Linked DNA regions of Bombyx mori. The protein of the gene in region 1 purifies or fractionates together with the protein of each later gene. This does not show direct contact. Links are inferred from orthologs where the notes say so. Each region holds a gene or a part of one and is shown on either strand. Other genes may lie near its edges.

Evidence for each region.
Region 2: the proteins of protein FAM98A (region 1) and RNA transcription, translation and transport factor protein purify together in Homo sapiens (affinity purification with mass spectrometry; 4 studies listed by BioGRID and IntAct, with this or other methods). This does not show direct contact. The link is inferred for Bombyx mori from reciprocal best matches to the Homo sapiens genes FAM98A and RTRAF.

Annotation. Positions count from the first base shown.
Region 1 is NC_085130.1:5,588,751-5,592,829, reverse strand, and holds the start of protein FAM98A, read left to right. Parts: upstream 1-1,266; 5' UTR 1,267-1,432; coding exon 1,433-1,470; intron 1,471-2,208; coding exon 2,209-2,441; intron 2,442-3,252; coding exon 3,253-3,389; intron 3,390-3,659; coding exon 3,660-3,795; intron 3,796-4,079. UniProt on the Homo sapiens protein: Positively stimulates PRMT1-induced protein arginine methylation. Involved in skeletal homeostasis. Positively regulates lysosome peripheral distribution and ruffled border formation in osteoclasts.
Region 2 is NC_085119.1:4,409,187-4,412,559, reverse strand, and holds RNA transcription, translation and transport factor protein, read right to left. Parts: upstream 2,218-3,373; 5' UTR 2,067-2,217; coding exon 1,997-2,066; intron 1,920-1,996; coding exon 1,695-1,919; intron 1,353-1,694; coding exon 1,269-1,352; intron 961-1,268; coding exon 662-960; 3' UTR 501-661; downstream 1-500. UniProt on the Homo sapiens protein: RNA-binding protein involved in modulation of mRNA transcription by Polymerase II. Component of the tRNA-splicing ligase complex and is required for tRNA ligation.

The DNA of each region.
Region 1 (4,079 bases):
GTGAGTACGCACGGGTAGGTACCACCGTACCGCCTATTTCTGCCGTGAAGCAGTAATGCGTTTCGTTTGAAGGGTGGGGCAGCCGTTGTAACTATACTGAGACCTTAGAACTTATATCTCAAGGTGTGTGGCGCATTTACGTTGTTGATGTCTATGGGTTCCAGTAACCACTTAACACCAGGTGGGCTGTGAGCTCGTCCACACATCTGGCAACAAAAAAAAAAAAACTACCGAAACATCAGAAATTTTCCACAGCTAATTTATGACATGTCATTTCGAGTGAGCGCACCAATATGGAGCTTTATCGTTTTGAGAAATTTCTTAAAATATGTGTTTTATTTACAGGATGGCAGAATATAAATTTAAAGACATAATTCTTGAAATTTGCGTCTCGAAAGTAGTTGAAAGTAAAATTCTTTCTTCTAAGGTTTCAACTATTAGGAAAAAAAAATTGACAGGCTATAGAAGAAATTTCTAAAAGAAAAACGTTCCTGTACATGAAAACGAGAACTGCCGGTTCATTAGCCCGTTGGAATTACAGCGTGTGGAAATGATAACTGGTGGTAGGACCTCTTGTGAGTCCGCACGGGTAGGTACCACCGCCCCGCCTATTTCTGCCGTGAAGCAGTAATGCGTTTCGGTTTGAAGGGTGGGGCAGTCGTTGTGACTATACTGAGACCTTAGAACTATATCTCAAGGTGTGTGGTGCATTTACGTTGTAGATGTCTATGGGCTCCAGTAACCACTTAACACCAGGTGGGCTGTGAGCTCGTCCACATATCTAAGCAATAAAAAAAAAATAAAAAAATAAAAAATTACAAAACCCACTGAAGCCGACACGAAATATGTCCTACCACTAGTAATACGAGATTGGCGACAGAACTATGCGCTGAGAATACTGCTGCTTTTTCTGTAGTGAATCTGTTTTATGTGGGATTCGTGTTTATGAACTTCGATTTTCAATTTACAAAAATCCTGTTCTGCTTTAAGGCATAATAAGTTATTTAGTTATATTATTTATTGTGGTATAATTAAAAAAATTAACATTTACATTCTAACTTTAATTTCACCTTCTACAGCAGACAAAAATCTCATATATTTACGAGGCGCCTCATACAGTTGGAAGCTTTGGGTTCGTGATTTCGTGCCTGTCTATGCGTGCCTGATTCTAATGCGTAATTATTTCATGTTTAGTTTCTGTATTCTTGGTGTTTTGTGGCTTAAAGGAATAGAACGCAGGGCTCCATCCATGAAATGTCTTGACTTCAATTGTCTTATCGATGGTTAAACGTTTAATCTATGAATAAAATATAAAGGACCTGGAACGCCGGCTGAAATCTATTTTTCAGAATTTCTTATCCCAAGTAAAACTGTGTTTTAGTCAGTAATTTAATAAAAAGTACAGAGCTTTAGTAAGAGGTTATTGACTAAAATGGAAAACGAAATATTGGACTCACTTAGCGACTTGAGGTATGTACGGTTATAATTTTTTGTAGGTTTGATCAAGTTAAAATCACCGGTTCTATTATTTTCACTTAAAAATGTTCTTTAAAATGGATAAATTAAGAAACTTTAAAACGACACGTTAGCGTTACCGAAAAACATTTCGCAATATGGTAAATTCAGAATTAATATTGACAGATTCAGTTGGTTTGACTATTTCGATATTCTTCGTTGACAACATAGAATTCCTTAACCTAACGAATACTATTACCTATCTACGAGTATATATAACCTAGCGTTTTTAAGCAATCACGATCAGAAAAAAAGCGGACCATTTTTTTTTTTTTCGGTGTTCCCTCGTCTTATACATAACTAAACCTACTCTCACAGTTCAGTCGTGTATGACCACGAAAACTGTAAAGTGTTCCATATGTCGGAAACAATATAATCACAATAAAAACGCTAGATTAACCATAAAAGTAGTTTTATGTAGTAGTATTGTGAATAATGGTTTTTCTACCTAAAAGAGGTACAATTTACAGTCTTCCACTAGTCTATTTCGTTAATCCTACATGATATATTTCCTTCCTTTAATATATCTTTCTCTTAATATAAAAGCATTGATTTCAATTTTATTTTAGTTTTTTTTTTATAAATACATGTCTATATTAACAGACCTTTAATGTATTAAATTAACCAAGTATGTCATTTGATCTGTAATTTTTTGTGTAAGACAAGTCATAAAACATTAGAAAAAATTTTAAGCTATGAAGGCCCACTCTCCGAAGAAGCTGTCTTTGCAAAGGCTATTGAGGGAGGTGCCAAGTCCCTTGACTTCACCAAACTTGTGCATATATTGGCTGAAGAGTTGAAGAATCTCTGTCACCTCGAAGAGACTGTAAACATGATTAATGATCCAGACGATTCAAGCTCTTTCCTGCTGGAACTTAGTTCATTTTTGAAAGAATTGGGATGTCCCTACAAGAAATTGGTAACAGGTGTGTAATTATTAAACATTAATCACCAATATCTATATATATAAAAATGAATTGCTGTTCATTAGTCTCGCTAAAACTCGAAAACGGCTGGACCAATTTGGCTAATTTTGGTCTTGAATTATTTGTGGAAGTCCAGAGAAAGTTTAAAAGGTAGATAAATATTAAAATGCTTGGAATTAAATGAAAATAACAATTTAGTTTTCCCTTTGATGGGTCTCCCGTTGGACGGATTCCTTTTGTTTGTTTTAAGTTTATACAAAAGCTTAGCTCTTTTATTTATCGATTGAGGCACTACGAAGTCTGCTGGGTCAGCTAGTAATACATAAAATAGAGAGGGTAATCAAAATATTTTTACTTACATAGTCACAATGATTTATTAAATAGTTATTTAATAGTTAGTACCAGTATTCAGAAGCAATTTTATAGCCTGTGGTCTACTAGGGTGTGGTTACAATTATCATTTAAACCAGAGTCAGAATGATGATACCTAGTTTGATGTTATCATGACCTACAGGATAAGTCATCTGGTACATCGGTATTGAACAATGTGATTGTGCCATTTCTTAAATACTACAACATGGTACCAATTTTTCTAATGTAACTAACACACATTCACGAATGATTTCCGTGATGAAGAAATAACAGTGTAATAAAAGTGAAACCTGCAACAATTATAATTTGGATAATAAATGATGGTCAGTGGTGGTCAGGTGGTCTGAATCACCACTGGCTGTGCTTGCAGTAAGGGCTGTTAGTTCAACAACCTTAATGGATTTGTATAATAATAAACTATTAAACTATGTTCAAACAGGTCATATGTCATCTCGACTACAATCTAAAGACGATCGTCTGTTACTGCTTGATTACCTGATCTCCGAGCTCATGGCAGCTAGAATGGTGAATGTAGATCGTCCACAAGATAAGGGCTCAGGCATGGAGATTGTTATGGTATATACTTAATCATTTAATTTCAACCATTTATTTTGAATTAAGATTATGCTGTGTAATTAAAATAGGGCTTTAAGTTTGGAGTCATTATGATCGCCAAATATTTTTGTTCAAGTCTAAATCTTGCATAAACTGGGTGGCCGTCCTTATTCTTGATCTCTTTGGGAGCATATAATTTGCTCAATGCAGAAAATATATTATCTTTAACAGCTACAGTTTATTTAAAAAAACTGAAATTCTAGTCTTCAACAACCATACACTAATTTTCAGCGTGAATCTCCAACAGCCAAAGATCTCAAAGATATATTGATTACTCTAAAATTCAACAAACCACCACCGAATATCACTCCAGAAGTGCTATTCTCCAAGCTGGAAGGAAAGTTAAAGGATACCATACAAAAGGAAGGTAAAAATATATATTTATTTTTGTAATCGAATACATATTGCATATATTAAATTGCTTATAATAAAATACTTTACAGTTTTACTAGATAAGTAGGTAGGCAGCGGCTTGGCTATGCCCCTGGCATTGCTGAAGTCCATGGGCGACGGTGACAACTCATCATCAGGTGGGCCGGATGGTCATCTGCCTACAAGGGCAATAAAAAAAAAGATTTTATATTTTTGATTGATTTAAAAATTTTACTATTTCATTTGATTGATGACATGAGTTATATAATAACATTGATG
Region 2 (3,373 bases), on another chromosome or scaffold:
AGAATATTTAATTTTGATGTTTATCAAATTTATTTTTACACATCCTTGATTATAAAACTTACGAATTATTATGTAATTAACATTCTGAACATTCTACAGAAACATAAGATAAAAAGAGTACATATTTCAATTTAAAACTTTTTCAGTTATCTTGTTATTGCTGTAACTTACTAATCTATGTAGTATTAAGCAGCTACTAGATGTTTGCTGGTCTGCTTACAACACCAACAAATAAAACTAAACCAATTTTATGGGTGGTACAGGGGAGCCTTGTGAGCCTGCACATGCCAACAACATACCAACACTACCCATAATAACTAGTATATAATAATAAGTCATTCTGGTCATTCTGGTTTGAAGTGTAGAACGACCACCAATAAGACTTAGACCACAAGCCTCAGGTTTACATTACATACATCTTAACAATAAAAAAGTGAATAAGACTAAAGTTAAATTGGTATAACCCAAATAAAAATAAAAATCTAAATGAAAAAACGAAATTTAATGCACAGTTTATTTTTAGTACTCAGCAGATCAATTATTATCATTTTAATATGGTTTTACATAACATAGTATAAAAACAATAGCTTCAGTTCTTCGCCATTGTGATTTCGTGAAGAAAATGTTAAGATAATTTTACAAAATTTTAGTGAAGAACATTTTATCTTCCTACTCGACCGAGTTTGGTATCAGTTCGAGGGTCAGCAGTAACAGTTTGGACAGCAACTAAAGCTTCATTAATTTTTGTTTGTAAATTTCTAAGATCCTGAACAAACAGTAACTTTAACACATCTGAGGGTTGATTAACTAAATTGACTTCAGTTTGTAGGGGTTCCGGATGCGGAGAAGTTTTCAGTACTTTGGCTAAGGCAGCAAGTCTTATTTTAGGATCTGGATGAGGACCAATGCTCGCTACTGTACAGACTCTGTTGACACCTGCTTTGAATGCTTGACTTGAGACTGAAAATAGATTTGGAATATTACCAAAGATCACCAAAGAAACGTGATGAGTATAGAGATCAGGGCCTCAACGGAATTTTATTAAAGAATTGAAGTTGAAGTTTGGAATATTAAAAGCATTAGAAATAAAGAAGAATCAAGATAATCTAAGCTAACATATTAATAAAATTTTAGAACCATTAGTAACAAATTCAATTCTTGTTGGCAATTATTTAAACAAGTTTAATTATTTAATTGTAATTACAAAATTAGTTTTTGATAGTTAGAAATTAAAATGTTTTTCTAAATTTTATTATGGATGTACTTACAGTCCAGATTGTCTAATGGATTAGAAGACACGACATTGGGAGCTTTCTTTTTCTCTTCAACTTTAGCATTTTTATATTTGTCAACTGTAAAATAAAATTAGACATTCTTATAAATTTTGATGATTACTGATCATAGAGCATTTTGTAAACCCACATGGGTAAACACCACCACCCTGCCTATTTATGACGCAGAGGAGAGCCTTGTGTTCTAGTCTGAAGGGTGGAATAATTGCTATGTTTTAATGGAGTCTTAGACTTCATGTCTCAAACATGCAGCATTCAAGTTATCTCTGTATGCTCCCGTAACGACTTAATATCAATTGGGCAATGAGCTTGTTTAAATGTCTAAGTATTAAAAAAGAAAAATACGGTAGCAAGTAAAGAAATAATTTGACATGAAATATTTAATTAAAATTTTCTGTTTACCATTATCCGCGTATTCCAACCGCACCGCATACGACAATAGCCAATTGAGTTGTTCATTCAGCGTCCCTTCTGCCGCTGGACTCACCAAATCTTTCTGATACGTATTGTATGCCTCCTTCCAGAAATCGGAATCAATATTTCTCAACCCTTCTCGGTCCTCAATTTTGTAATGCCTTATTTTTTGATCTTCTAACCACAGCACCACACTTCTGTACTCCTTCTCATCTAAAAATTGCAGAGACTTGTTATTTACAATCTTCACTCACGAGTTTTAACGAACGGGTCATCAAATTAAACAAAACCTTCGCAGTTAAAGAACTCTGGATTTGGATGACCTAATGCACTTAGTTTCAATTTAAATAAATTTGACATTGTTAAAAAACTGTAAGTTTTTAGATAGCAAATTGTAGTAAATTTCACAAAATTAACCAAATGCAATTCGACATGACGATAGCATAGATAGTAGACATAAGTGTATAATCTATGGTAGAGACCAATATTTGACAATTGACATTAGGAACGCGATCTGAGATCGAAATATCGAATAATTAATCTTTTCAACAAAAACCATTTGATTTGTACCAAAATGAGTAGATCTAAGACATTAGATAATTGAAATTGTATTATTTTTTTATTATAACGCAACAAAAAATAATTCACACTTAAATTAGTGTAACACTCCGATCAACTGCTTCTTTTAGATGAGCGAAATAAATGGGGTTGGCTACTGTCAAAGTGGCGCTGGTGTGCATTGTTCCCATAACATTCAATATTTGTATTGGAACTTTTGATTAAAAATTATTTTAAGCACAATGACGCGTTGTTTTGTGCCAATATCCTCAGAAATTGGAGTACATCAATTCTCGAAGGACAAGAAAATTGGAAGACTGCGGTTAAAGGCCATTTGACACGAAAAAAGTACTCCCACAAAAAATTCGAGGTTATGTCGTAAACACTTTGTGGAATCTGACTATAAAAACTCGCTGGAGTAGAGTGGTCGGCATATCAAGAGAAGATCAATTTTTAATGTTACTAATTAAGCTTAGAAGAAACACAACAGATTTTGAATTAAGTAAAACTGAAGTGTCTAATATTGTTGTAACATGGATAAATTTTGTCAGTGATATCTAGAGCCTAATTGACATTTGCCCTAGCCGCAGCTTATTAAATTATTATATGCCTAATTGTTTTAGAACACATTATCCCTCCACAAGGGTGATTATATATGGGACTGAAATAGGCATACAGAAGCCTAGTCAACCTGATGCTCAAATAGCGTCATTTAGTTGTTATAAACATAAAAATACCGTGAAATTTTTGGTAGGAGCTTCACCAGGGGGATTATTATCATATGTTTTAAACGGCTACGCTGGTTCTGCAAGTGATCGACAGATACTAGAACGAAGTAAGCTGCTCCAGATTTGTGATTCTGGAGATAGTATTATCGCAGACAGAGGTTTTAATGTACAGGATCTGTTTGCCCCTAAAGGAATTAGTATAAATATGCCATCTTTTTTAAAAGGTAAATCACAAATCCCAGGTGTTCAGTTAAAGATAGATCAAAAATTAGCTAGTCAGAGGGTTCACATAGCACACGTTTCCACGACACCTATGAGGTAGTGTACTTAGCGCGTTTTTTTAACGTGGTTTCCCCAGTAGGCTTACTCCACGGGTCAGTT